7 linked regions of the Coturnix japonica genome follow. The protein of the gene in region 6 purifies or fractionates together with the protein of the main gene of each other region. This does not show direct contact. Links are inferred from orthologs where the notes say so. Each region holds a gene or a part of one and is shown on either strand. Other genes may lie near its edges. The genes, in order: ZFC3H1, EXOSC2, EXOSC3, C1D, EXOSC9, MPHOSPH6 and EXOSC7.

Region 1 (3,935 bases), on a different chromosome or scaffold from region 6:
GAAGAACCTACAAACTACAACCAAAAAGAGACCGACTGATGAGATAAAAAAATTGTGAGGTCAGAATTCAACAGTAAACTAAGTCACACTGTGGCCCCTTGTTTCAGACCCAGAACTCCGCAATCCTCTATGTAAGAATTTCTCCAGAAGGCCCATTCAACAGCTCCACACTAAAGTAGCTAGGAATTAGAAAGACCTATTAAAAGCTAATATTGAAAGAAAAATAAAAAATAACTCTTTAACTGTAGCTGATTTACTCCTATCCATTTACATTTCTGCTCCTACAGAGTGCACACAAAGTAATGGTTATATGGGTAAAGAAAAAAAGCCACTGCTTGTTAGCAGACCTTCACGTTTCTCACTTGCCCTGTGAAATTCCAAATATCACCCCATGCACTGAACCTCCCTGTACAGTCCGTGTGAAGGTTTCTTCTGAAATTACTTGCTAATTGGAAACCTCCTCCACTCACGTCAGCAATATGGAAGTACTTCTATATGCAGGGATACTGTAAAACCAATTCATATAAACAGCAAAGACATGAAAAATACAGCATTTATATTTTAGAGAGAAAATCACGAATCTTCCTTAACTAACCCACTAGAACCAAATGTGACTTAAGGGGCATTAGAAAATCATCTAAAATACTTAAACAGAGACTGCATCGTAATAATAGTGATAAAATGCTTCCTTCATTTGCTCATTTTGTTTGAAAACTGAATTATCAGTTTCTGAATGGTCTCTTAAAGTGTCCAAGAAGACTGTATCTGCATCAAGCACTGTAAGGTCAGCTGAGAATGACTAACACACACCTGCCCTGCAAATTACACATTACACAGAAAGTAACTATTTTCTGGTACTTTGAGTAACACTGCAAATATCATCTATTTTCAGCACTGGCGCGCTGTGCAACCTTGGGCAGATCACATCTTCATTCCCTGCCTCCAAGATAAGAAACAATCCTTGAAGGAAGAGTTACCAAGACTTAAGGAACGCTCTTAACATCACGAGATGAGATTAGGAACAGCTCTTTACCAGTAATTTACATATTCCCTCTGCATACCAAAAAAGAACAGCTGACACAGATACATAATCTTGGCTCTAAAGTAGCACAGGGACCCAATGAGCAGCTTTCGAAGCCTTATGTCCTAGCACAAGTAGGGAAAATAAACCCTATTCTTGGAGATGAGCAGCTCAACCAAAAAACAAGTTGCAGCCTTTGACTATGGCCACAGTGGACAAAAAAGCAGCGTAAGATTCTTGAAAGCAACTTTTAACCACTAATTCTTTCACCCAAGTTTTGTTGGGTGGTTTGTTTGTTTTTAATATCTGTGTTCTCAGGTAACTATGCAGCTGTATTAAGTCGCAGTGCCAGGCTGCCCCAAAGTTACAGCTGCTATCAAAATTGTTTTTTCCTACAGTTAATAGCTCTAGAAAACGTGAAGAGCTTTTTCCACTGGTTTTGCTATTTCTGCTCTTAATGGGAGAAAACGTTAAAACTGATTAAAATGACCTCACAAAACTTATCCGGGAGCAACTGGTAGAGAACATCTTCAAGAAACACTGGGTGTGGCTTTACATAGAAACGGGGCATTCCACGTTACCCAGACTCCCATGTAATGCACATTCCGTGCACAGAGGCCCAAGTGACATTTAAATTGATGTTGGCTTTGGCTACACATAACCTTGTTAGAGCTATAAGGGAGCCTGCTTTGGCAAGGGGGTTGGACTCGATGATCTCTAGAGGTCCCTTCCAACCCCTACAATTCTGTGATTCTGTGATAAGTGAAAATGAAAGAAGAACAGATCCTTCATTGCCCAATAAGGAAAATTAACCAGCTTAGCGTTTGTTACAACTAGGACACTTCAATCACATAGTGTCGCACCGACGCCGCTTCTCGAGGCTCACTTCAGCAGCACCTAAAATCCAACAGAACAAGGCTTTGTTTCAGGCTATGTTTTTCTCTATCCCTGATCGGGCAGGGCAGGCTGCAGCGCCGTCCCAGCCTCCCACTACGAGAGGCAGAGCCTAATGAGCCGCGACCCACCCAGCGCCTGGGCCACGTAGCACCACCCGGCAGTGCTGTCCACCGTCCCCCTGCTATAAAAGGATACATTTCCGAGGCGAGGGCTCCCTCCAGCCCTGGCCGCCGCTGAATCCAGCGCAGTTTCCCCCTCCGGGCGGCCTTCCCGGCGGGTTACCGCCCCGTTCGCCACCGCCCCGGCTCCTACCCCAGCGCCATCCGCCCCTGTAGGGCCGGCCTCGGAAACGGAATCGGTCCAGGGCGTTGTGGCTGCGCTCCCAGAAGGAGAGCCGGGGGCCCGTGTCCGAGTGCGGGCCAGACGGCATCCGAGGAGCGGGCAGAGGAGGCGGGTGTGAGCGGAACGAGTCCTTGGGCCGGTAACCGCCGTGGCCGTGTAAATGGCCCATCTCGGGCGGGGGCTGGTGCCGGGACCGAGGGAAGCGCCGAGAGGACGAGAGGGAGATGCCGCCGCGGAGGCCGGGAGGCGGCCTGCGCCTCGAGTACGGCCTATTGCCCGCCACGACACCGCCGGGCTCGGAGCCGCCGCCGCACGGCCCGGAGCCGTTGTTGTCATCGTCGCTGATCTCACCGTCTTCCAGCTCCCCTTCTTCTTTAGGGGAAAGCCCGCTAGAATCCAGCGCTGCCTCTGCGGGTGCGGCCTCCGCGGCCGCCATGGAGCCCAAAGTGTCGGCGAGGCGCAGCCGGTTTCGCTCCGTGCGCAAGGCGGCCCCACGCCTCCCCCCAACACAGCCGCCCACCCAGCGCAGCCCCGACCCGCGAGGAACTCTCGCGAGACCACGCCCTGCCCCCCCGCTGCCCTGTTACGCAACGACGCAAAGAACGCGAGGGTTGGAGACGGCTTCTCCAAACTTGGGGCATTCTGGGTAGCGTAGTTCCCAGCGTGGCGGCGGGGTGTGCGGGCGCCAATAGAAAGTCGAGCCGCCATGTTGGTGGAGGGGCCGCCATCTTGTTGAGGGGAAGCGGGCTCCTTGGAGAAGTAAAGTGGTGAAAGAGTGGTGTGTGTGTGGTCATTATTTATTCGCTTTTGAATCTTGAAGAAGACTCGATGCCCAAAACTATGTGCTCAAGGCCCTTTGCATCTCTTTTGAGCCAACGGGACTGTCATGACTATAAGTCATGACTATATAGTCATATACATATACACTATAAGTCAAATACATGACTAGAAGTACATGCTCTCCCAGTGAAGTGGCTTATTAGAAATTCAGAGTCATGGAATCTGTATGGCACATCATTTCATTTATATGATATTCTCTTCTTTTTCCTCCATTATAGGGTTATGAGGCAGGCAATTTGATTTCTGAATTTCCAGAAAGAAGATGATCCTTCCACTGTATTCTTCACTATTTAATAAACTGATTAACTGATAATGTTCTCTACTATAAAGGGAATAAAGTGGCACGAGGAAAAAGAATGTGTTGATCTATTGAGCTATTGGTAATAGGTGAATGGTTGGACTGGATGATCTTTTAGGTCTTTTCCAACCGATTCTATGATCTGATATATTCAGGACCTACATATTATATACAAGAGCACACAAACATTTGAAAACTGCCTTTCTGGAATAAAACATGAAGGATCTTCCACATTTATCCCATAGGTAACAAATGGAGAAATTCTGTGAGGTTTTTTGCAGTTTGTAAACATAAGATGAAATCCAAAACAAATAAATTCTCTTTGATATATTTGACTTCATACATTCAAAGGATATATAACATAGCTGCTGGAGCACCATTTTTATTTTAAATGCTGAACGTATTCTCAATACATTCAGATGGAACAATTTAAAATATCAGAAAGCATATGTCTTAATAAAGAACATGGAATTTGATTTTGCCTTTACCATATTTCCTGCATATTTTCTGCATCTCTAGACACAGACAAAAAAGCAT
Region 2 (4,132 bases), on a different chromosome or scaffold from region 6:
GGCTTATTTCAATGTGCAAAAACAGAGATAAATGCCAACTGCATAAAGCCTAAAATAGAGCCCTGGAGTGAGCAGCAAGCCATGGGGACAATGACCTGCAGAAGAAGAGCGATAAAGTTTGAGATAGAAGATTTTTCTTCCCAGAGCTCAAGTCCCAAGCAACTGGTGGGAGAAATGGATTCATGCAGTAACTGTGGAGAGGGACAGCAGCAGTTCAGAGGGAATGTGTGCAATGAGGAACTCTGCTTTGAGCTCCCATGTAGGAGCTAAAATTCTTCCTAACCTACTGACAAGGGCTATAATATCATACTCTACTGCAGAGCCTTTTATTCCTTAAGGATCTCCCCCCAAACCTCTATCCTGATGCTATCTCGATATAAATACAAAGAAATTCTACTGACATGGATAGAACTGCACTGTATTTAACAAGATCTGACCCTCTAACAGACCACTAAGCACAAGGGTTAGAGACTCATACAATCCAACCAGCACAAAATGAGACTTTTGAACAACATACCTTCCCATATTTCAGACTCCTGGTGTGCAGTGATACAGCCCCATCTGAAAACACAGACTGGACCTCTGCCTGTCAGTGCCTCTTAAGGAAACAGACTTCTTCATGCTGCCCTGTACCAACAGCCACCAACAGAGCTTTCCCTGCCTGCCTGAGGTCTGGCTGTTCCCCCTTCCAATCCCTTTGACTCTTCTGTCCAAGTACAAGCAGTGAAAGGATACACTGATGAGATCCCCTTCCTGCAGATAGTCCCTCATTGCAAGCTCATCTTCTGCTGATCTCCTCCTCTAAAATGGACAATGCAAGAAAAGTTATGGGTCACGTAGAATGAGAAAACATTAATTAACAGCAACACAAAGAGAGGATCATCTCCTTAGGACACTGTGCAAAATGCATGGGAAGTCAAAACCACACGTGTGCTAACTGCAGGAGGGGCTCAGAGCATCCTGCCCTGCAGCACTGTGGTCCTTCTCTGCACAAACTGTGCTCACCAGTTCCCCACCAGGTAAATTCATAGACGACAACAACAGGACTGAATCCAGCCTGGAATTGGTTTCCACTTTCCATCGTTTCTGTTGAACCTGGTGAAGAAAAAACAACGTTAATGTACACTCAGAAAATGAACTAAGTCTCTAATCTAAGTGGGAAGTCATGCAGATGACTGACTCTATAGCAAAGCACTGTGACAGCCATAAGAAATGACCGGCCAGTGCAGCAGAGGCTGTCAGAGAAGGAATCATTTCAGTTGGAAAAGAGCATTAAAAGCCACCTGGTACAACTCCCAGTAATGAACAGGGACACCTGCAGGTCCCTCAGGTGCACAGAGCCCCGTCCAGCTCTGATCCTGAATGTCTGTGGGGGTGAGGCAACCACAACCACCCTGAGTAACTTGTGCCAGCGCCTCATTGCCCTTATTGTAAAAGACATCCTCCTTATATTGAATGTAAATCTCTCCTGTTGAGACTGAAACCATTTCCCCTTGTCCTATCACAACAGACCCTGCTAAGAAGTCAGTCCCCTTCTTCCTTACAGAAAGATACTTTAGATAATGACAGGCTGCTCTCAGCTCTCTCCAGCGCCATCTCCTCTCCATGCTGCACAGCCCCAGCTCTCAGCCTGTCCCCGCAGGGAGCTGTTCCATCCCTCGGATCACTTTTACGGTCATCCTGTGGATGTGCTCCAACAGATCCATGTCCATCCTGCACCGAGGATGCCCCACCAGGACACAGTGCTACAGATGGGGCCTCACACGAGGACATGCCCACCTCCCTGTCCCACAGCTTGCACTGCATGCATCCAACCCTATGGGTCCCAGCCATCCCTATGGGGCTGAGTGCTCCCCTATGGGTCCCAGCCATCCCTATGGGGCTGAGTGCTCCCCTATGGGTCCCAGCCATCCCTATGGGCGCCAGCCATCCCTATGTGGCTGAGTACTCCCCTATGTGTCCCATCCATCCCTATGTGTCCCATCCATCCCCTATAGATCCCATCCATCCCTATAGATCCCATCCATCCCTATGTGTCCCCCCCTTTAGTGTGGGGTCCCTGTTCCCCCTATGGGCGCACTGGACGGCAGCTCATTACAATGGATCCGGATGGGCACTACGGTTGCCACCAACGCCCTCCTGCAGCTCTGCATGGCACAGTGCTCTCTGTGCTCCAGCATCTCACTCTTTCTTTGTCAGACCTCATCACGTTCTCCCGTGTCCTCCCAGCTCCTCACCTCCGTGATCCTCCCGACCACGATGTCTCCGACCTCCCCGTTGTACCTGGCGGTGGGACAGAGCACAGCATTAACACAGCATTAACACAGCATTATTACACACCATTATTACACAGCATTATTACACAGCATTAACACACATTACACAGCATTATTACACAGCATTAACACACATTACACACCATTATTACCCATCCCATTGCACATCCCGTCCCTATATTCACCTGCTCTGTAGCGGTGTCACACACACCAATTTATTCACCCTCTCCACAGCTCCAGCCACCGAGGCGACGAGCTTCTCCTCATCCACATAGGTGCCGTGTCCCCTGCAGACAGAACGGACGCCATTAGAGCCCAAACCGCGGCCTGCCCCGTCCCCTAATGCTCCTCCATCCCCACCTCATGTATCCCGTGTCCGTAGTGATGGTGTCTCCGGGTACAACCAGGTGTTTCTCGCCGCCCCGAGGCCGGCTGGGCCCCACGGCTTTACGGATCACGGGCAGCCGCATGGACACCGCCGCCATCTTGGTTGAAGGCGGAACTGCGCCTTGCGGTTACACGTGACTTCCGGACGCCATCTTGAATGAGGGCCGTAACGAGAGTCACGTGGGTTGGGTACAGGGCGGCCATTTTGGTTCCTGGCAGGGAGGTTGGGGGGGGGCAGCGATGTGAATGGGGCAGGGGGTGCTCCCCTATGGGTCTCATCCATCCCTATGGGGCTGAGTGCTCCCCTATGGGTCCCAGCCATCCCTATGGGGCTGAGTGCTCCCCTATGGGTCCCATCCATCCCTATGGGGCTGAGTGCCCCCCTATGGGTCCCAGCCTTCCCTATGGCGCTGAGTGCCCCCCTATGGGTCCCATACATCCCTATGGGTCCCATCCATCCCTATGGGTCCCATCCATCCCTATGGGGCTGAGTGCTCCCTATGGGTCCCAGCACCCATTAATGGGGTTGGACCCACAGCCCCCCCCTCCCCCCAATTTAAACCACGCTCGGTCCCGAATCGCTTTTTATTTCGAGTACAAGAGAGAGGTACAAATGTATTTACAGCGCTGTGCGTATACAATCCCATAATATAGAATATCAAAGGCTTGTAAATAATGTTTTACATAAATATTTACAAAGTTAAAGTGACGGGTTATTATATATTTTCCTTCTTGGGTTTTTCTTTTTTTCCCTTTTCTGGCAGTAAAACGCAGTGTTTTTATTTTTATGAGAGCTTTTATACACCTCGGATTTAGGATGAACACAACAACCTTCCAAGTTAATGGGAACAGCCGCTCCGGGCTGTGCGGTCCCCAGAGGGCAGCAGAGCTGAGCGCTCCCTTAGGGCTGGATGGGGCTGAGCAGCTGCTGGGCCGTCATTGCATGGTCCAAGTTGGAAGGGACCCCCCTCAAACCCCTCCTAAAGGCCGCCTGGTCCAACTCCCTACACACACAGTGCTCAGAGCCCCGGGCAGCCTGACCTCGGGGGTCTCACAGCCCATCTCAGCCTCCCATCCCTTGGTGGCATGTAGACAAACCCCATGGCACAGCTGGGGATAGAGGGAGGAAAACCCAACTCGGCTGAACAGACAAAGCTGATGGTCCCAGTGATGCTGTGCCACGTCTCCTTGCTGGGCGCTCGCTGGCACAGAGGAGAAAGGACAAAAGCAATTTTCCTTCCTATCAAATGATCCATAAAACCCAACCTTGATTCATCCAGGTGCAGCCGCAGCTCCGAACACACCAGCAAAATCCACACGGGATGTCCTGCCGTGCCCTCCCATTCTCCCTTTCCCACCAAACCCTATGGAAACGCTGATGCTCCCAATGCAAACTCAGAGCAGCGGCTCTGCCACGGGCTCCCAGTTCCTCACACATCTCAATGCCAGTCTTTGCACGTGGGCAGCGA
Region 3 (4,168 bases), on a different chromosome or scaffold from region 6:
AAGTATTACAACATTATCAGCCAGCAGCTAAACAGTAGCACTGGAGTTACAAAAGCAACTCCAAAAGTTAAGACGATTCAAATTGCATATCCAGCCATATCAGAATTGAAGTTCTCCTCCCAAAACACATGCACCTAAAGAGAGCACCTGTGCACTGTAGCTGTTTTCCTAATTAGGCAGAAGAGTTACCAAGAACAAGGCTGAAAAACAACTTAGCTGTTCACACTGATAAGACACATAAACCAAATTACTTACTAAACCCAGGTATGACATAGCTACTTGTTATCTCCAAGAACAGATGCTCACCTCTCCTCCCTCAACATCAAAGCAACAACTAGTCTGACCATCTCTTATCACTATCAGCTGGTATTTTATGATAGTCACACACTGTTTCTAGTTCAATGTACATGCATCCTTTCCCCAGTAAAACTGGCATAAATGCAGCACAACAGCCACATAGCAGTTACTGGCTAGTTCACACTACTTGAATTGGAGACAGCTGTGCATATCCTACCTAAAAACAAAATGTTACTCTTCCAGTTTCAGCTGCACACAATTGTCTCTCCTTCAGTGCCTGCTAAGATGCTGTTCTGGTTTTAGGAGAAAAACAATGATAATACACCTGTATTTCCAGCTGTTGCTGAACACTGCTGTACAGAGCCAAGCATACTTCATTTTTCCCCACTCTCTCTTACCATCCTACCAACTGGGGGATGGGGAACTAACAAGGATCTCGGAAGCACAGGGCAGGGCACCCAAGCAGCTGGGAAGGGATAGAAATAAGACAGCTGACTTTAAGTGGCCAAAGGGATATTCCATACCATATAACATTACGCAAAAGGAAAGTTTTGAATGGGACATGAGTCCTTTTTTCTCTCTCTCCTGCTGCTTGGGGCCTAGCTGGGCATCAGTCAGTGGGTAACTTCCTATATACATTCACATATATGTATTTCTCTTAAGTAGTATCTTGTTTTCTTTTCTCTTTGTAAACAGTTTTATCTCAACCCATGAATTCTACTTTGTGTCTGTTTTTTAATCGATTCTATTCCCAAGCCTATAGGGAAAAGCAGGACAGGGTCTGGAGGGAGAGGAGCTAATGACTGTGTGTTGTTTAGACACATGCTAAGTTTAACAACCCCAACACTTTAGTACAACTGGTTTTCTTAGTACTTACTTTCTTATCAGACCTAAGGAAACTTTAAAGAGGAAGCCGTCTTGTCCAATTACTCCCATTCCACTTGCTCTTCCACTGCTGTCTATACAGACCATCTCTGGTTCCATGTCTTTATTTGCTACAAGGAACTGACCATAAACAAGGTCTCCCACCTAAAGCAAGCAGTGCCAGAAAACAACAAAAAAAAAGAATCATTAGAGAAGATAACAATGCACATTTGTAAGAAACATTCAGTCCATAAAGAGACAACAAAACAGTTGTAAACTGGATGAACACTTGGACAAGAACCAGCAGCGTACACTTGCAGCTCAGAAGGCCAATGGGATCCCAGGCTGGATCCAAAGAAAGATAGCTAGAAGGGTGAATGAGGTAACTGACCCCTTTATTCTGCCATTGTGAGGCCCCACCTGGGGTACTCTGTCCAAGCCTGTGGCCCCTGACACAAGACCATTGGAATGGGTCAGAAGAGGGCCGGAGCGCCTCTTGTGTGAAGAAAAGTTGAGAGAGTTAGGCTTGTTGAGCCTGGAAAAGGCTCTGGATAGACCCCATCGAAGCCTTCCAGTGCTTATAGGGAGTGACTTTTTATATAGCCTAGTAGTGACAGGACAAGGGGGAATGGCTTTGAATTAACAGAGGGGAGATAAAGGTTACATGTTAGGAAACAATTCTTTACTCAGAAGGCGCACCAGAAGCCATACCAGTCTATTCCATTTAAAATCACAGCCCATTTTACACCATGCTGACAGTGTTTCTGGTGAACGCACATATCACAAAACAACTTGTAAATGCTACAAAGCAAACCCTCCTCTACCAGCACCAGCGTTCAGAGGATGCTTTAAAGCCTCAGGGTGGCCCCTTGGGACCCACGTTACTGCACGAGTAGCACCTGCCACTGTTAACCGATGGGAAAGGTGTAAGGTCAGAAGTGAAGAAGCACAAAAAGCTCCGGAGAAAACAGAAAAAACTCACGGCCTCATCGGGACACCCCGTACAGGCCATGACAAAAGCTCTGTGAAAAAAGTCACGTTCCTCGTTTATATGGTCCGAGTGGTAAAAACACCGTTTACAAAGGCAAGCTCCCGGCGGGCAGCGTTACCTGCACGTTGGGCCTGTTCCTCTTGGTCGCGCCCTCGAAGGCCAGGTATGACAGCGAGGCCTGCTCGCTACCACCGACGTCCAGCCGGAACACGTCCCCCACCTTGCCCGTCACGATGCCGATAACGTGGTCTCCCTTCACCGGCACGTACTACAAGCGGGTACAAGCGATCAGCGGGCTCGTCCCGCACATCACCGCCCCCCGCCGCCCGCTGCCGCCGTACCCGCTTCTGCTGCGAGTCCACCCAGTAGGCGCCGCCCGCCGCCGCTCCGCCGCCCGCCTGCCGGTGCCGCAGCAGCCCGCACTTGGTGACCAGCAGCCCGCCCGCACAGCGCCGCAGCCCCGGCCCGCACAGCAGCCTCCCCCGCGGGGCCGCGCTGGTGCCCAGCGGCAGCTTGTCGAGGTCGGGCTCTCCGTGCTCGGGCAGCAGCAGCACATCGCCGGGCAGCACCACTTGTCCCACACGGGTCTCCGCCGGCACGCCGCCCCCACCCGCCATCGCGTGCGGCCCTTCCGGCGGAAGCAGACGCAAAATGGCGGCGGCGATGGAAGGGCCGAGAGCGCAACGACAGCGACACCGCCCGGCCGCCTGACGCAGGATCCAGCCGGGAGCGCGGTTGCCCGGTAACGCGGTTGGACGCGCTGTGCGATCGGGCCGGTAGGAGCGAAGCGGTAGGGAACGGGGGACAGCACCGCTACCACCTTCTCATATTAATTGCCTGATGAAATGAGCTTTGATAAAACCACCAACATCACACTGGGGATGTGATGCAGTCAACACTTCCTCTAACTGCTGTCTGAATTCCGATATCGGTGACTAATATCTGTCGGTTTGTCAGTAGGTGAGAATGGAGTCTCAATACCTGAGGAGATGTCTGGGAAGCTGCTTGAAAAAGGGTCTGGCGGAGGTTGTGGAGCGTCGGCCCGCTGACCCAATAGAGTACCTGGCACACTGGATCTACAACTACAAGAAAACACTAGAAGAAGAAAAGAAGGTGGGTCTACCTCGGGCAAAGCATTTCATGTCAATCTAACTGATGCTGTATAATCTCTCTTTGTGTTTTGTTTCCTTTTTTTTTCATTGATTTCTTGTTACCTCTGAAATAGAGAACGTTGGAAAGGGCCAAACTGGAAAAAGAACGGCAGGCAGCCCTGGAAGAACTTGAAATGTTAAGAAAAATGAAGGAAGAAGAGCTACTGATACAACAGAAACTTGAAGAACAACGGCAGGTTAATAGTTGTTCATAATTATAGTAGCGTGTGATGCTGGGTCAACTTGTAGCTCTCACTACAATAGTAGTCATTATCAACATAGAATCATAAGAGAATCAGAATGTTGGAAAGTACCTACAATTGTATTCTGATCTTGAAAGGGAAAAGATAACAAAAAGTGCTTAAACATTGCGTTTTGAAAATATCATTATTTCGAAAGGAATTAGAAAGGACAGCTGAGCAGCTGGGGAGAAAAACTTACCTGCTACATGACAAGATGTTACCAAAAATGAAGAGACTAAGCTAAAGAGAAACTAACTAAAGATATGTTAGAAAATTAGATTAGGATAAGTAGACTGTCTTCTGCAGTTAACTATCTTAGCTATTTTTTCCTCCCATAGAATCTATATGGATTAGTCTGTCTATAATAGATGCTGTGCAAAGCTTCAAAGAGCCTAATCCAAAGTATAGGAGATATAAATATTAACTACTAAAGAGCACGAGGAACTGAGTATCAAAAGCATATACGCTATCTTCAGCTGTCTTCTCTTTACAATAGGAACAAGAACGTGAGAAGATGGAACAGCAGAATAAAGAAGAGAACATGCAGGAGCAGCAGAAAGATCCAGAGGTTTAAGCCAAAGCTTAGTCAAGATAAAGAAATATTGTTAATCATCTCTCTTATT
Region 4 (4,007 bases), on a different chromosome or scaffold from region 6:
GTACACAAGCAGTGAAGGGTAGGACGCTCAGCCTAAGTCTGCTCCTTGTGCCAAGGAAGGAGGGAGAAATGTGTCAAACTCATGTTTGCAGTTCAGCAGGAACCAGAGCAAGTTCCTCCTCCTGCTGTGCAGGGCCCCTCTCTCTTTTCATTAGACTGTTGTTTCAGCATTGCTAATCTCCAAGCAGGATATGTTACACTGTTGGCACATGCCAACAAGAAGGCAGCAGTCAACAGCCTACAATAGCTTCAATAGTATTAAATCAACGAGAACAAACTTACGCTGCATTAGAAAACATGTACAGCGGAAGCTCCACAGAACTGTTCCTGCCAAAACCAACACAAACAGCGCACGGTCACACCTGCTGAATGACAAAGGCAAGGATGGGAGGAACTGAGAGCGTATCAGTGACTCTGTAAATATGCCTAAAGGTTACACTGCCCTCAATAGTTACGTTTCATTTATTAAACCACAAGCAAGATTTCCTCAAAGTTCTGCAAGTGTTTCCCTATGTATTTTGAACGAGCAGAAATTCAGTTCCAGGAGTGGATGTTCACTACACAGATTGCTTTTGTTGGAGTTGATGACTTTCTGCTGTATTTTATTTGCCACAGAGATCCAACTTAAACATAGGAATAATACACATATTCAGATACTTGAAGATAAGAACATATTTGCTGATCAAATGTGAGCACTGGGGAAAATAAGGATAAGAACGTATCTTCATTAGCAAGTAATAACATAATGCTGAACATGCAATCTGTGGACAAAACCTGGACATCAAATCTGTCCCTCTTACATTGAAAAACAAACTCTAATTAGTCTGTGGGTGCATAATGATTTTGCTTAAGAAGCATAAAGTAACAGAAGCTACAGGTATATATCAACACGGCAACATGAACCCTTCCAAGACAGAATTAAAGTATGTTCAGCATCACACGTGATTCTTCACCCAGAATTAAAATAGCTCTTTCAGGATTAAAAAGTATTTCCTTGAAATAGTTTGTAACAAGTGTATCCAGCGCTGTGTTTAATATTGCATCTCACTTAGCACTTCCTGCTAGTTCTCACCTTTTTTAAGCACTAGAAGGTTGTTTTTTTTTCCAACTGAGCTCAGATCTTTTTCTTCCAGATGATTCACCTAACAAAAAAAAAAACAGATGAGATTTCCTGCTTTTCATTGATAGCTATAGATTATGTATAGAAAACCAAAAGAAACGCAAACACTGTCAGTTGGGGTGTGTAAACTGCTTTCAGATTCCAATCAAATGCATTAACAATGGCGGTACAAGAAACCGTCTCTGCCAGCATCTAAAATTTGGCACTGTCCTCCCTATTTCAATGCTGAATCAGAACCTGTAGTGACTGTAGGTGATGCATGGCAGATGTCTGTTCTGCTCCAACATTAATTCACCGCTGTACCTGTACAGCAACGGAGCAACACGGAACAAATATCTTAAATTTAAAGCTACTAAAAACCACGACAAAGCTTTTTAATTACACACCTCTTTTGGGCAAAGAAATCCACTTTATTTTGGACAGAGATATCCATTTAATCCCATATTTGCAAAGCTGTAAGTACCAAAGGCTCCCATCCATGGCAGAGACTGCTCAGTACATAACGAATAATTAGTTACTTGCTACTTATCACTGTGTCCATAGAGCTGGTTTTTCAAGGCACATCTACTAACAGCAATTACAGAGCTCTTCAAACACCAACCCACAGTCTTGTTTGCAAAAGCAATTAAGCCTATCATGAAATACCAAATACACAGCAGCAGGCTTCTCTTGATCCCATTAAAAACATCCCAGCTCAAGACACGGTAGTTATCCTTTGCACTGTATTATAAATAGGTAACAGCCAAGCACTCACTTTTAACTTTGACTTCAAAGCTAAGCTCCTGGCAGTATTCAAACCTGCACAGAAAAGCCCTGCAATACAGTTAGCAGCCACCAGGTTCTCGCTGATGCCACTGAGATTTAAACTCAGCAGCCCCAGAGGATCTACAAAGTTTATTTTACTCTGTCTTAAATGAAGATCAAAATTCAAAGGAAGGGAATAAGATTTTTAAGGCTCGCTCACGTTTCAGCCCACAGGGATATGGTGAGGAATCAAGTACCTCACCCTGGCCCTTATTCACTTCTACCCTATCTACATAGGCGGAAACCAACTCGATCCCTATGATTCCCAAAACACTTTGATTCTCTGTGCAGCATCATCAGCAGTGACAGATTCCAGAGCCGATAACAAAGTCGTTTCCTTTGCTGAACAAATCCAATATACAGTGTCTCTTGTTCTGCTCAATCCTGTCAGTACTCCCATCAGCAAGGACAATGATAAAACCAGCTGTCTTTGTGTACATCCAGAACACCTGTTATTGCGACATGCTCATGCATCTAAATCTACCCTCATTAATGTGAAACCATTTCTTCTTGTCCTGTCAGAACAGACCCTGCTAAATTCTGTCCCCTTCCTTCTTACAGCCCCCCATTCAGATATCGAAAGCCTGCTCTGGGGTCTCCTCAGAGCCTTCTCTTTTCCAGGCTGCACAGCCCCAGCTCTCAGCCTGTCACCTCCGCATCTCCTCAGTCACAGACACACGAAGCCGGGAGGACGCACCAAACGTTACAGGCCCTCGTTCCCAAACAGCAGCTCCAGGCGGCTCCGAAAGCCCTCAGATCACACTGAGCGATGTGACGACGCTTATACCGAAGGGAAGAAGGCCCCGATTCCTCCCTGCTCAGCCCCACCACCACCGAGACGAAAAGCGACGAGAGGCGGGGCCTGCCAAGGCGCGCAGTGATGGCGTCACGTCGGGGGAAGGGCGGGAAGGGGGATGTTACCACAGTGGAACCATTATATTTACATGAAAACTGAAGGATTCTGTAAGCGTAAAGCTACTCTATTTTGAAGCTAAACTGAGAAGTGTTGTGGGACCTCTGGTCAGCCCGTAGATTGGGTTTGATTAATTGTTAAGTTGTGATTTGGCAATGGTTTACACTGCACCCTATGCCCAGGTGAACTTAGATGCACCTTGCAGATAAAAAGCTCTGGAAATGTTTTTCTTTTCTTTTCTTTTTTTTTTTTTTCCTGCATTCAAATTAAATTAGAATGGCTTTAAACTTACTGAGCAGAGGCTCTTTTCCCTTTTGGAAACATTTCTAATCAAAATACAGATGTGAAAGTATATGGAAAGAAGGAAAGAGCTTGATGTAACTGTTTTGGGGAGGAAAATAATGTAATTCAATAAAACCGGCTTAAACTCTTTGATTAAAGCTTTTTTAACGTAACAGATAGGGAGATAATAAAGATCAAAAGAGCTTGTGTCCATGCCAGCTAGATTAAATGACAGGATGTGGTGAAGTGCTGGATGCTGTATCTGGTTACTTTACATATGAAACTATATTTGCTGGATGCAAATACATCCAATTTAGAGGAGAGATTTATTTACCTGCACACATCCCCCAAAGAGGCAGGGAAGGGGGCTGGAAGGGGTCTCATCCCATGCAGCTGCTCTTAGGTTTGCTATACATTCTCCCGGGATGTGGGAGAAAAAGAATGGGAATGTCAGGAAGAGAAAACACTGGTGGATATGAAGATGCCACAGGTCTGCAAGGCAGCAGAAAGGGTCTGCCATCCTGCCTGCTTGTGCTACAGCTCTAAGGAACATGAAGCAGAAATTCTGTCAGCTCTGTGGGAAGATTGATGACTCAGAAGATGAAAGGTTTAGCATGAGATGCAAATGAACTGATTTTATTAACTGTTCTTATAATTTATTGTTATTTTTCATTGTTGTGGCAGGGCTGCCTGGGGACCTGAGGCTTTATGGCACCGCAGGCTCAAAATACTCACTAAACACTCAGAAAGCTTCCACAGAAGGTAACAAAAAATGAAGAGGAGGAAAAAAGCCTTTATTAATAAACAGAGGACATATCATAGCTGAACTCTGGAAAAAATAGGCAACAGGTGATAATTCACCCACTTCAACAGGACACTGTATTGTGGC
Region 5 (4,075 bases), on a different chromosome or scaffold from region 6:
GGCTATAGGGCCACCCGGAGCCATCTGATAGCTTGAGTGTCTTACTAGCTTCTAGAAGGGCCAGTGCAGATAAGAGGAAAACTCCCCCCTGGAATAACGAATAGAAAACATACACTTCTGAAGGAGGGTCAGCTTTAGTTATGATTTCTTCTGCTTGTTCTTCCACATTGTTGGTATCTACAGCAGCACTGTCCATTTTGAAGGCAGTGATCTTCTGATTTGATATCGATTCTGCAAAGCCGAACTTCCCACCTTCTTTCCTAGTCATCCAACAACAGACGTTATTTCAGGATATTTCACATATATGAATATAGCAAGCATTTCCATACTTGTAATACTTGAAATGATTACAAACAGAAACAACCTGCTGTTTCATTATAAACTGGCATTAACTTTTCAATCAGTTCTTCAAAGTACTTTCCATTCCTTCCCCAAAAACTCACCTCACTTTCTGGTCGTTCTCCAAAGCTTTCTGAATTAATTCTGTTATTTCCGCAACCTTCACAGCTGTTATTTTACTGCATCTCAGAACCTGTACGTTACATACACGGTAACAGTTTAGAATCATGAAAACATGACTTAAAATAGAACCACAGAACAGATCCTTAAATGTTTTCCTTGACTTTTACCTGATCCTTTAATAGCATAATCCCTCCACTAGACTGGATGGTACAAATTTCCTGATGTTTATTCATGGCAATTACAAGGAGACCATCCATCACACGTTCCTCTCGTTCATTTGGATCCACCAACAAATACGTCCTAGAACCAAGTTTTTAACATAAGACAACAGAAGTTTGAGGTTGACTTTGACTCCCTTGTAACAGTTTTCTTCCTATCTGTGCAAGCTGCTGGCTACTATCACACTGTGGAGAACACGTATGAACGTGTTAAGAAAGCTGTCTGTCAACAAGAGTATTTTCACAGTGCTGTAACAATAATTTTGCACAACTGACAATAAGCTGTTTCTGTCAAGAGCTTTAAGAAGAATTCTTACCCCTGCTGGAAGAAGGCAAAACTGACACAAATAGGCATGTGGTGGATGCTCAGGGGCACAGGATCACGTTCCTCAGGAGAGTACTGAGAAAAGAATTGGTTATTGGTTACTTACATTGTGCAAGAGCAATGTAAAGAAACAGAAAGCAAAGAAAAAAAGTCTAGTCAACTAAATATTAATAAAAAATCTCTTTTGGTTCTCCTTGTATAATACTTCCCATTTACGACTTATGGAGGTAAACCTGGTATGACTTACCACCGTTATTTCTTTTCCTTGCACAGAAACATCTGGTCTGCGAAAATGGCATAGGGCCACGATTCCTGCTATGCTGGCAGCATCTATAATGTTACCATCGTGATTTAACAGGTGCAGATCCACACGGATTTGCCAGACCTGAGGGAAAACATGTATAACTGGCAATGTGTAACATAATTCCACAGAAGCTCCTGCTTTTCCAAGACACTTCCAGTTTTTGAATCACAAAAAAGAGCAGCTTACATTCCTCGAGTATTTGATTTAAGAGTTAGGATGAAAAAAGACCAGTATTCAAAACAAGACAGAGCACCTGAAAAAGTGACTTTTATGTTTAAAATCATTAAACATGTTTATATGTGATTGAATTCGAGAAATATTTAGATGTATAACTAAGGGACGTGGCTTAAGTGGGGAAATATTGGTGCTATGTGGATGGTTGGAGTGGATTATCTTGGAGGTCTTCTCCAAGCTCAGTGATTCTATGCAATGGTTTGAGACTGGTAGTTTTCTCCTACCTTTTCACCAGCAACAACGCAGAGGGATTCTGTATCTATACACTTGGAATTCCTCAGGCATCGTTCTATCAGTCTGTTCACTTTGACCAGTAACTCGGATTGCCTGTTCAAACAAAATCAACCCAAATTCAACATCATTATGGTACATACTTGTGCGTGTCCAAGCAGTGGTTCATACATTATCACAGTATCAGTCTCGTGCGGGTTGGAAGGGACCTTAGAGATCATCAAGTCCAACCCCTGGGATTCGAGCCTCTGTGTAGCAGAGCGGCACTTCTACCACTTGCACCATTATCCTTGCCTGGACTTCTTAAGAAAGCGACGTACCTGCCAGGCTCAAAGCCAGGTGCAGCCATGGGTGAGAGCTCCAGGTTACAGAACAGAATCCCTTCTGTAGCCCGGTTTGGCTTCGGGGGAACGAGTTCACATGAGACTTGCCCAAGGACCCTGCAGAAGGAAATAAGCAGCTAGGTCAGAAAGCTTAGCAAGAAAATACCTAACGATGGAAACAAAACATATAAAGAAAAAACAAAGACCCATGTGGATGTTTTCTAACACATTTCTCGTTGTTCAGCTCAAGTTTCCTTTCCTTCACCCTGAGGGCGGTGAATGCGCATAGAGCTGTGTGTGTCCCAGCCCGGAGACCCCCGGCCGCTCCTACCTGGTCTTGCCCAGCTCCACCACGCAGCAGCCGCGCTCGGGCCCGAAGGAGATGCGCACATTGCGGTAGTCGTAGCACTGCCGCCCGTCCAGCCGCTGCGGGGACAGACACACACACACACACACACACGGGGCGGTCAGCGCACCACGCCGGGCCGCGCCGCCCCGCAGCTGAGGCGACAAGGGCCCGGGGCAGGGTACGGGGCAGGGTACGGGGAGGCCGGTCCGGCACCGCACCTTCCTCTCCTGGATGGCGCGCAGCAGGAAGCGCCGCTCGCAGTTGGACAGCGGCGTCTCCTTCATGGCAGACCCCACAAACGGACGGCGTGAGCTCGGCTGCGGGACGTCATCAACACGCGGCGGCCGCTCCAGCCGCCTCACCACAGAGCGCGGCCGGCGGAGCTGCTGAATGGGGCCCCCTGGCGGTGGGCGGACGCGATTCTTCGGTGCAGGCGCCTAGTGCTCTTTGTGAGAGGAATTCCTTCTTCCCTAATACCCAGCCTACACCTCCCTTGGTGCAACTTGACGGCATTCCTTCTTGTCCTGTCACTGTGACCCAGAAGAGGCCGACTTCACCTCACCGTGACCTCCCTTCCTGAAACTCAGGACTTGGTCTTGTTGAAGCTCATACAGTTGGTCTCAGCCCACTGATTCAGCCTATCCAGATCCCTCTGTAGAGCCTTTCAATGTCATTTTGCCTGACAGTAGAAGTAAACACTTCTCTTCAATGAGAAATCTTCACTGTTATTGAACCAGCCCACATTAAATCAACTTATCTTGCTATTTCTTTCCACCTTTTCACTGAATCATAGAGTGGCCTGGGTTGAAAAGGACCGCAGTGATCATCGAATTTCAACCCCCTGCTATGTGCAGGGTCACCAACCAGCAGACCAGGCTGCCCAGAGCCACATCCAGCCTGGCCTTGAATGCCTGCAGGGATGGGGCATCTACAACCTCCTTGGGCAACCTGTTCCAGTGCGTCACCACCCTCTGTGTGAAAAACTTCCTCCTAATATCTAACCTAAACCTCCCGTCTCAGTTTAAAACCATTCCCCCTTGTCCCTTTGTTTTTTTGGTTTGTTTATTTTTCCCCACCACCTCCCTTTTCCTTTTTTCTATTTTTCTCTTTTTTGGGGGGAGGGGAGGAGAGGGTTGGAAAGTACAATGACTTACTGCCAACTGTATTTGGAATCACTGGTATTTGTGCTCCAGGTGTGAAAACTGGACCTGCAGCGTTTGCATTGAGGTCGACCACAGCAGGCAAGCAATTAAGCTTAAGCATTTTTCAGTGCAGTTTAATTCTCGTAGCTTCTGTGCAAGAAGAGAGAGAGCTGAATTTCATGCTTAAATGGACATTCTGTGCATGACTAATGCAGCAGTTCAGATATTTAGCAGGAAGTATCAGGGCTTCCTTGGGTATCTTAGCTGTCACTGTTATTGATTCAGCATGCTGCTTATCTTGGGAAGGATAAATTAATCAGTTCTACTTGGATCTCGTTCACTAGCACTGTTTTGTTATAACTGCTGCATTTGCAAGGGAAGATAATGCTTACCATCTCTCTAATACTCTTACAAAAAACATTATATTGTCTACCAGTGAAAAAGAATTGAAATCTGGAAATGGATGCATTGCTCAACAAGTCATCCA
Region 6 (4,204 bases):
TGAGACTTTCTTCATATAATTGAGTTTCATGTCTTATTTAAAAAAAAAAAAAAAAAAAAAAAGGAAAAAAAGAACCCTCAGGTCCATGCTGGGATGGTCACTGCTTGAAGAATGTGTTAAATTGTAGCTTTCTCCAGAAATTTACCATTAGGATGAGTAATTGAGACATCTAGATGAGGAAATAAAGTAATAGAAAGAAATGACTTTGATTTGAAAGCTATAATGCATTGACCTGCTGCAATTTTAGACAGAACCACACTGACCTTTCTCAGTTTCCCACAGCACTGACTAAAGGCAGTGACGTTTGGGTCCCAGAGTTGCTTCAGATGCTTTTGTTGCACGCTGTACAGAAAAAAAGCTCAGACAACCAATATATTCAGGCCATCCACAGCCAGCACAAAACAGGATCATTTCTTCTATCCGACTGAATTAAGCATAATTGTTTTTTTTTTTTAAACATTAAATTAGTTAAACCACAATGATTAACCACCACCAAAAAAGACCAACAAAAATCAGTTTTTATTAGCTCTCCAAACATGTTTCCGAAGCTGTTATTATGCTTCTATGTTCAGACCAAGATAATTATAAGTTCAGAATTTTTTGGTTGGAAAAAAGAGACAAGATTAGCAAACTTCTTTTGGAAGACAGAAATTAAAGGCTCACAATCTGCTCAAGTGTCAAACTGGAAACGTTGCCCAATATTCGCCTCGCTGGAGGAAAAGCTTTGCTCTAAACTCCTATTTTTAAATATAATATGCTTTATAAAAAAAATAAAATTGAAAAAAAAAAAAAAAGGATTTTGTCTCTGTTCTTTTCCCAGCTTATTTGTCAAGCAGTTAAAAAAAAACTATGTTTCTGCTGAGTGTTTTTTTCATTTTCATAATAATAAAAATAGCAGCAAAAGCTGGACTGCCTCATTGGATTGGACAAAGCTCATCTTTACTGCAAATACTTACTTTAGATGTTATCGTAAAACATATATACTGTTGCTATTGATTGCACGTTGACACTCATCCTAGTTATGCACAACATTAAAAACAGCTGATGGGCTTAATATCCCACACGTCAAAAGCTGCTTAGAGAGGGAAGGATGTATGACATCCATTATATACACATCCACTTCAAAAAATGCTTGTTATGTGGACAGCAGAAATTTCAACAAGAACAGACTGAGATTAACAATTCTACCCTTTATATAAAACAGCAAAAACTCCAAACAATCTTCAGTTCTTGGTGCTATATTTGGTAGGCAACATTTCTGTTAGCTCCAGTTGTGCAGCTGACATTAATCCTGAGGTTTTAAGAACATTTTCCTGGCTTTCTTAGGTCTCGTGTTACTATTCTTCTCTTCATCTTCATCTTGGAGAACACGCTGGTCTCTTTTTCTCATGAATTTCTTCCCTATTGTTCCCACCAGTGTTTCATACCTGTAAACATAATTAAAAAACAACGGTTCTTACTAAAATCAGAGAGAAGTTCAATGCAGGAAATCATAAATGCAATCAGCAATGTAACTATTGTAACAAGCCTGTCACTGTAAGTTTGAGAAGCACAAGTGCGACGTGATCACAGATTATTATTATTATTCACTTTGATCATTTAGGATTTTTAGCAATCTGGAGCTAAGAGGGAATTAGCATAGAATACATGGACGTCAAAAGGCAGACAACAGCTACAAGTTTTTTTTAACCCTGAAAGTTATGGAGATCTTACTGAACAAACACCAGAATTCTTGAATAATCAGTTCTATGAAGTATCAAACACTGTTTTTCTTTGTTTGCTTTTTGTTTCTCCTCCCATATATAATGCTGTAACACAGGACATATTTTATGACATAATCAGTACTGATAAGGAATAACATACCTTCTGGCCATTTCTTCATCAGACACATCAGCCTCCATTTTACCATCCTCCTCAATTTCTTCTTTCTTGCTCTTAGAGTTCATTTGGACCATTAATTTCTGAAAAACGAAGCAAGAAACAGCTTAAACATGTAACCCTGACAAAATGTCAGCTACGCTGAAATAGTGTCACTGCCAGGAAGAATGCATAAAAGGCAGGAATCAGTTTCAATACTGCTTTCCTTCATTTGCAGTACCTTGTTTAGGCTTCTAAAACAAGTGCCTTGTTGCTATGCTGAGTTTGATTTGGTTTTGAGAATAGAGGCAACACAGAGACAGTTTTTCTTTCAGTGAGCTGTACTATTCAAGCATCCTCAACAACATGGCAGGTATCTTCAGGAGACCAGAGATTTAGATACTAATTTTTTTCATTGCGATGCCAGTCTTTGAAATAGTTTTGTTACAGTGGAAAAATATCTGCAAAGATCTACAATAAACTACCAGTAAAAACCGTAAAGCAATGATAGGCCTGGTCACAGTGAAAGCAAGTTCAAAATAACTGAAGGAATGCCCCATTAAATAACCTTGAACAGCCTTCTGTGTGCCTCTGGTTTTGTACTTTCATCTTCTTGTTTCAGTTCAGCCGCAACACTTATTACTATTTCAGTATGCACTAGTTCTATCAGCATGAATCATGCTGGAAAGAAATGAAAGACCCTCTTTGCCCAGAATTTTTACTTTGGAACCTCAAGTTCTTACTTATACAAGTGATGAATAAACAGGGTTGAATGTTCATAAGACCGGGCTCTGAATTAAACAGCAGCAGGAACAGTGAGCTATCTTTCTAGTGAGCAGCACATGGAAGTCTCCTGAGGTCAAGGAAGGAAAATCTGCAGGAGTCACATACTTACTAACCACCAACACAAGGAGGTAAGTGGCGTCTGTTTCTCAGATGCTGCACTGATCAGCATTTTGGCCAAAATCAGTTTTCCTATATAAGGATGGTGCTGCAAAGGCTAAACAGTATGGAGTGTGAACACCAAAGTCCTCATTGCTGAGAGCTTCAATCTTTAAAAGACAATTAAATAGTACCTCAATTTCCGGATTGAATCCTTTGAAGGACATTCTGCCATAAAGTAGATCCTCACATGGCATAAAGCTCCTCTCTTCTATTATATAGCTCCTGCATGAAAGCCCAAACGCAGCAGTTGTCAAACAGTGTGCTTTAATATAATCAAATTAAACAAATGCAAAAAGCATTTGCTGTCTTCCCCCACACAAATAAACAAAACTGCAGTGTATTTTATACCATCAACTACTTTCTGAAGATTAATTGCTCTGATAAATCTTTCAATACAAAGAGCTTGGAGTGCAAAGGAATACTGTTTGCCAGTAAAGCTGTGCCAGTTCCACAAGCAAAATTAACTCTCCTGACAGAAAGCACTCTTTGCTGGTATGATTCCACCTACATTAATGCTTTTGCCAGAATAAAAATACCACATAAATATCACTCTCCAGGTGGCATTACTATACCAGCAAAAGCTTCTAATGAATTTTTCATTGTGATGTTAGATCTGGTATTATTTGAGTCTATCAGGATATAAATGTGTAATTCTCTGTTCAGCAGAGAAAAATTTTCCCATTCCCCTTCCTTTTTCCCCCTCCTTTAATGACCCTGGAAAGAAAAGAAACATGATCCCAAACCATCCATAATAAATACGTTGGATAAAAGTACTTTTTGAACCGTTCCATTCTTTTCCTCTCACACATATGCATCCCTTCCCTCAATCTCTTCATCCCTTCCCTCAAACTACAGGAAATCATGCTGAAGGGACCAAACTCATTTGCCTACCTCAAGGCAGGATTAACTAAACATGTACCACAAACAGCAGAGGTCTATCTGACCTGTCCTCAAAAGGCTTCCAGAGATGAAGAATCCCATCTCCTTTAGACCATCTTTTCCAATAGCCTCATTGTTAGAGATTCAATATCCAACCTGAACCTTCCTTGGTGCAGCTAAAGCTCAGATACCTCTCTGTCATACACGTTAACAGCCACGGACAATAGATTATAAATGTCCTGATTCAGTTACAGTTAATTCCCTGGACCACAGCTTTTTATAAATTATATGTTTTCCTATAGAAGAATTTTGTTCTCTTTTTAAAGGACAGAAGTATTTTCAAAGTAGTTCCCTTGCTACTTAAAGCACCTTTTCTATTCAGCAGGAACGGACATTCGCTTCCCTATTAGCTAAGCCCTCCTTTATTTTTGCTTCATCCATTCTCCCTCCTTTTTCAAAAGCAGGATTTGAAGCGATCTGTGCTCAAGATGATGGAACTGTCCTGAATGGACCCAACCACATG
Region 7 (4,166 bases), on a different chromosome or scaffold from region 6:
TTTACCTCACCCCACCCCACCCGTAGCCCCGCGGTCCCGTGGCTCTGCCCCGCCACCTACCCGCAGGCCGCCGCCCGCCGCCACCTCCCATCCGCCCCGCCGGAGCGGGCGCCCCGCGCGCGGCACTGGGCCCGGCGGAGCGCGGTTCCCCCCCCCTCCCCAAGCGCCGTCCCCTTACGCGATCCCGGCGAGGAGGTGGGGCGGCAACGGAGGAACCAGGAAGTGGCGGCTGGCGGCCGGCGGCCCCGCCCCGGGCCTCGGCACCGCAAAGCCGGGCAGCAGCAGCCGGCACCTGCGGATTTAGCGGCCGCTGCCTGCGCTGCTTGCAGCTTCACCGGGCAGCGTGAGCCCCTGCGTGCCGGGCGGCTCCATCACGGTCTTTTTCCACTTCCAGCTGGCTAAAATGAGGCAGAAGGCATCGCTTTGTCCTTGTTATAAACGACACCGCATCCTGTGAGCAGCGAGGAGCTGCTGGCTGCGCTTCCAGTCTGGGATGGATGGCAGACATGGAGGAAGGAATGAAGGAAGGAAAGCTGCCCCTCCTTGTGTCTGAGCGCTGTGGGTGCAGCTGGGAGCCAGGCAGCACCAGCGCCATAACCTCACAGAATGACCCGGGTTGGAAGGAACCTCAAGGATCATGTAGTTCCAACCCCCCTGCCTGGCAGGGCCACCAAACATACACATTTACTAGATCAGGTTGCCCAGGGCCCCATCCAACCTGGTCTTGAACACCTCCAAGGACGGGGCATCCACAACCTCCCTGGGCAGCCTGTTCCAGGGCCTAACCACTCTCCTGGTGAAGAACTTCCCCCTAACATCCCAAACCTCACTGTGCCCTTAGTGGGCACCACTCAGCGCACCAACCAACATACAGGAGAGCCGTGCTGAGCGTATGGCACCTACAACGTGAGCTAATGGAAGCTGCCACAATAAACACCCCTCAATTACAACGCAGTGTCAAACTGGAGCCTTTAATCGCATTCCCACACCACCAGCACGATGTCTCGGGTAAAACTCCGCATTTCTCCGCGGTCTGACAGCCAGGAGAACCTCAGCTTCATACTCGGGTACCCTCATAGTCTCATAGTCTCGTGTGGGTTGGAAGGGACCTTAGAGATCATCGAGTCCAACCCCCGGGATTCGAGCCTCTCTGTAGCAGAGCGGCACTTGTACCACTTGTGCCACAGGGGGGATTCGAACTCCGGGCCCCAGTGTTGCAAGGCGGCGTTCCTACCACTGCGCCACCGGGGCACACAACCCTCAGGTTACTTTTACCTCAGCTAAGGGCACACACACACACAGGGCCGACCCCACCGCCCTGTACAAGGCGCTGAGGCGACCGGCGCCATTTCCCGCCTGCGGAAGTGCGGCGGTGCGCAGGCGCAGAGCTCGCCTCCTTCCGAGAAGCGGAAGCGGAAGTGCTCTGCAGCGCGCGGGGTGTCATGGCGTCCGTAGTGCTGAGCGACGCGGAGAAGATGTACATCATACACGGCGTCCAGGTAGGGAATAGTTGCTTGTCATCTTTGGTGATGTATTCGGCACGGGAAGCTTGAAAAGCACAGGTTCCTTATGTTCGCGATTACGTTGGTTGTCGTGTTTAGGAGGACCTCCGTGTGGATGGCCGTGGCTGTGAAGATTACAGGTGTGCAGAAGTAGAGACAGATGTGGTGTCCAACACGAGTGGATCTGCGAGAGTGAAGCTGGTAGGTGAACGGCTCAGGAGTCGTCTACATTGCTGATAAAACTGGCTTGTTTCGCTTGGCTTATGATAAATAATTGCTGCTTGTAAATACGTCCATGTGTGTCTCCTCATATGTGTCTAATATGTTGCTCCAAAAACAGCCCCTCCTATTTTATGATGTTGGCCCACAGTATCATAAGCAGATGTTGGTGGTGTGGTAGTAGAGGTTGAACCTTCCCAACAATATTTCATTCTATTGTGTTGCCCTGTGACTGATGACAGCAGATGTGCAGTCTGACAGAATGGTGTCTGACTTGGAAATGCAAAGATGTGGTATTGAATTATGTCGTGTTGAAACGATTGTCCCTGTTGGCATTCATTGTCGCATGCTGAATGCTGATGGAGACCCAACAGCGAACGTGAGCACAGTGAAGCGGGGCCCTGGGCAACCTGATCTAGTGAAGGCGTATGTTTGGTGGCCCTGCTAGGCAGGGGGGTTGGAACTACATGATCCTTGAGGTCCCTTTCAACCCAGGTAATTCTGTGATTCTGTGTGGTGGTGCATTTCACCTTGTGAAATACAAGGCATGTTCTAGATGACCATGCACGGCTGTCATACGATGAAATGAACTGTCTTGATCAGCTCATTTGTGCAAATCAGCAGATTATGACCAGGGAACTGTGTACAGAGCTGAATATCAGCTTCATTGCATTAGAAATGATGGTGACAATGTTGGAATATCAGAAAATGCATGCCAGGTGGCTCCCATAAGTGTTCACAGAGGAGCAGAAAGAATACTGTATATCACACAGTATCACAGTCTGGTGTGGGTTGGAAGGGACCTTAGAGATCATCGAGTCCAACCCCTGGGATTCGAGCCTCCTGTGTAGCAGAGCGGCACTTCTACCACTTGCACGACAGGGGGGATTCAAAGTTATAAGTTTGTCAGGATCTCTTGAACCAATACAAGGCTGAAGGCAACAGTTTCCAGGATCACATCAGTAGTGATGATGAGATGTGGTGTCACCACTACGCACCGGTGAGAAAACGCAGTCCATGGAGTGGTGACATGTGATTCCCTATTGAAGAAAAAGTTCAAGAGATAGCCTTCAGCAGGCAAAGTATTGTGAACTGTCTCTTGGGATAGGAAAGAAGTGATCCTTTTGGATTTCCTGAAACCCAGACAAACCATCAGCTCTGACTGCTACATCATGACACTGACTAAGCTGAAGGCTTGAGCTTCCAGAGTCAGGCAGAGAAGAAGACACCTTTTCTCTTGCAATGCGATAACACCAAGTCCCATACCAGTTTCAGGACCCTGGAGCACGTTGCCAAATTTGTCTGGACTGTCCTACAGCACCCACTGTGTAGTGTGGATTTGGTGCCTTCTGTCTTCCACCTCTTTGGGCTTGATGGAAAATAGACTGCTCAGGCAATGCTTTCCTAGCAGTGGTGCAGTCATAGCTATGAAACAGTGGGTTACCTCTGCTGGTGCAGATTTTTATGAGTGCAGCATGCAGTCTCTTGTTCATCAGTGGTGAAAATGCAGAGTGATGGTGACTATGTTAATAAGGTTTTGTTGCTGAGAATCTGTTCAATCAAATAATGTTATTTTGCTCTTTGCACCTCTTATATTTTCTGTGGAAATAAATAGAAGACGTTACTTTCAGAGCGACCTATGCATGTATGTATGTGCTTAGCTCTAATTGACATGATAGGTTGAGGAAATAATGACAAGATATATGAATAATTCAAGTTAGCTTAATGCATTTGAGCTAAATTTATAGTGGAGTGCCTGAAAGGCCTTCAGTCTGAACTAATCTGCTATTGGGTGTTAGATGCTGTTGTGCCTGTCACTGGAAAAAATAATTCTGCTCCTTTACAGTGAAGCAAAACTACTTCTGGCATGTGTTGACTGTAAAGAAAACAATTATTTTTTGGCGGTATTATAAACATTCTGCAGAAATAACTGATCCAGAACTGCAATGATAAAAAGGTATGGCTATTAAGATTGTCTTATATACACAAAGAAAGCTGATATGTGGGCACAGAATTGTTCTCCTAAAGCCTTTCTGTTCTGCAATTCTCTAGTAGAGCAATTAGCAAAGACAACAGAATAGATGGTAGTGTCTGCATGCTGTAGGCATCTCAACTGAGTGTATTTTGCCCATAGTTCTAACTGTGTGATGTATTTTTGTTTTAACAGGGACACACTGATATCTTGGTTGGTGTAAAAGCTGAAATGGGGACACCGAAGTTAGAGAAACCAGATGAAGGTTATCTGGAATTCTTTGTTGACTGGTTAGTATAGTAGAAGAAAAGGTAATGGAGCAGTATGCATATACACTTTGCTTCTCACATTTGAAATAAAAAACCTAATCAGATCTGAAATGTGAACCTTCACTGCCCTAACCTGCTTAGTGTCTGAGTAACAGCAGCAGTTTATTTTACTGTCTTAGCTGTGCTGAATGTTCAGAAACATCA

Evidence for each region.
Region 1: the proteins of MPHOSPH6 (region 6) and ZFC3H1 purify together in Homo sapiens (affinity purification with mass spectrometry; 3 studies listed by BioGRID and IntAct, with this or other methods). This does not show direct contact. The link is inferred for Coturnix japonica from reciprocal best matches to the Homo sapiens genes MPHOSPH6 and ZFC3H1.
Region 2: the proteins of MPHOSPH6 (region 6) and EXOSC2 purify together in Homo sapiens (affinity purification with mass spectrometry; 8 studies listed by BioGRID and IntAct, with this or other methods). This does not show direct contact. The link is inferred for Coturnix japonica from reciprocal best matches to the Homo sapiens genes MPHOSPH6 and EXOSC2.
Region 3: the proteins of MPHOSPH6 (region 6) and EXOSC3 purify together in Homo sapiens (affinity purification with mass spectrometry; 6 studies listed by BioGRID and IntAct, counting the BioPlex papers as one, with this or other methods). This does not show direct contact. The link is inferred for Coturnix japonica from reciprocal best matches to the Homo sapiens genes MPHOSPH6 and EXOSC3.
Region 4: the proteins of MPHOSPH6 (region 6) and C1D purify together in Homo sapiens (co-immunoprecipitation; 3 studies listed by BioGRID and IntAct, counting the BioPlex papers as one, with this or other methods). This does not show direct contact. The link is inferred for Coturnix japonica from reciprocal best matches to the Homo sapiens genes MPHOSPH6 and C1D.
Region 5: the proteins of MPHOSPH6 (region 6) and EXOSC9 purify together in Homo sapiens (affinity purification with mass spectrometry; 5 studies listed by BioGRID and IntAct, with this or other methods). This does not show direct contact. The link is inferred for Coturnix japonica from reciprocal best matches to the Homo sapiens genes MPHOSPH6 and EXOSC9.
Region 7: the proteins of MPHOSPH6 (region 6) and EXOSC7 purify together in Homo sapiens (affinity purification with mass spectrometry; 4 studies listed by BioGRID and IntAct, counting the BioPlex papers as one, with this or other methods). This does not show direct contact. The link is inferred for Coturnix japonica from reciprocal best matches to the Homo sapiens genes MPHOSPH6 and EXOSC7.

Annotation. Positions count from the first base shown.
Region 1 is NC_029516.1:32,989,952-32,993,886, forward strand, and holds the start of ZFC3H1 (zinc finger C3H1 domain-containing protein), read right to left. Parts: upstream 2,801-3,935; 5' UTR 2,697-2,800; coding exon 2,114-2,696; intron 1-2,113. UniProt on the Homo sapiens protein: Subunit of the trimeric poly(A) tail exosome targeting (PAXT) complex, a complex that directs a subset of long and polyadenylated poly(A) RNAs for exosomal degradation. The RNA exosome is fundamental for the degradation of RNA in eukaryotic nuclei.
Region 2 is NC_029532.1:4,558,166-4,562,297, reverse strand, and holds the start of EXOSC2 (exosome complex component RRP4), read right to left. Parts: upstream 2,801-4,132; 5' UTR 2,762-2,800; coding exon 2,637-2,761; intron 2,564-2,636; coding exon 2,462-2,563; intron 2,284-2,461; coding exon 2,238-2,283; intron 1,096-2,237; coding exon 1,006-1,095; intron 802-1,005; coding exon 736-801; intron 587-735; coding exon 518-586; intron 1-517. UniProt on the Homo sapiens protein: Non-catalytic component of the RNA exosome complex which has 3'->5' exoribonuclease activity and participates in a multitude of cellular RNA processing and degradation events.
Region 3 is NC_029521.1:3,509,690-3,513,857, forward strand, and holds the start of EXOSC3 (exosome complex component RRP40), read right to left. Parts: upstream 2,801-4,168; 5' UTR 2,770-2,800; coding exon 2,494-2,769; intron 2,421-2,493; coding exon 2,271-2,420; intron 1,327-2,270; coding exon 1,175-1,326; intron 1-1,174. Other genes in the region: DYDC1 (DPY30 domain-containing protein 1), read left to right, coding at 3,119-3,265, 3,378-3,500, 4,042-4,113. UniProt on the Homo sapiens protein: Non-catalytic component of the RNA exosome complex which has 3'->5' exoribonuclease activity and participates in a multitude of cellular RNA processing and degradation events.
Region 4 is NC_029518.1:378,284-382,290, reverse strand, and holds the start of C1D (nuclear nucleic acid-binding protein C1D), read right to left. Parts: upstream 2,801-4,007; 5' UTR 2,621-2,800; intron 1,142-2,620; 5' UTR 1,072-1,141; intron 365-1,071; exon of another isoform or gene 362-364; 5' UTR 289-361; coding exon 282-288; intron 1-281. UniProt on the Homo sapiens protein: Plays a role in the recruitment of the RNA exosome complex to pre-rRNA to mediate the 3'-5' end processing of the 5.8S rRNA; this function may include MPHOSPH6.
Region 5 is NC_029519.1:48,282,512-48,286,586, forward strand, and holds the start of EXOSC9 (exosome complex component RRP45), read right to left. Parts: upstream 2,801-4,075; 5' UTR 2,731-2,800; coding exon 2,665-2,730; intron 2,524-2,664; coding exon 2,429-2,523; intron 2,215-2,428; coding exon 2,095-2,214; intron 1,871-2,094; coding exon 1,768-1,870; intron 1,391-1,767; coding exon 1,253-1,390; intron 1,081-1,252; coding exon 998-1,080; intron 763-997; coding exon 630-762; intron 533-629; coding exon 444-532; intron 261-443; coding exon 114-260; intron 1-113. UniProt on the Homo sapiens protein: Non-catalytic component of the RNA exosome complex which has 3'->5' exoribonuclease activity and participates in a multitude of cellular RNA processing and degradation events.
Region 6 is NC_029526.1:14,002,535-14,006,738, forward strand, and holds the end of MPHOSPH6 (M-phase phosphoprotein 6), read right to left. Parts: intron 3,025-4,204; coding exon 2,934-3,024; intron 1,962-2,933; coding exon 1,864-1,961; intron 1,428-1,863; coding exon 1,286-1,427; 3' UTR 501-1,285; downstream 1-500. UniProt on the Homo sapiens protein: RNA-binding protein that associates with the RNA exosome complex. Involved in the 3'-processing of the 7S pre-RNA to the mature 5.8S rRNA and play a role in recruiting the RNA exosome complex to pre-rRNA; this function may include C1D.
Region 7 is NC_029517.1:39,619,642-39,623,807, reverse strand, and holds the start of EXOSC7 (exosome complex component RRP42), read left to right. Parts: upstream 1-1,366; 5' UTR 1,367-1,442; coding exon 1,443-1,499; intron 1,500-1,601; coding exon 1,602-1,703; intron 1,704-3,888; coding exon 3,889-3,983; intron 3,984-4,166. UniProt on the Homo sapiens protein: Non-catalytic component of the RNA exosome complex which has 3'->5' exoribonuclease activity and participates in a multitude of cellular RNA processing and degradation events.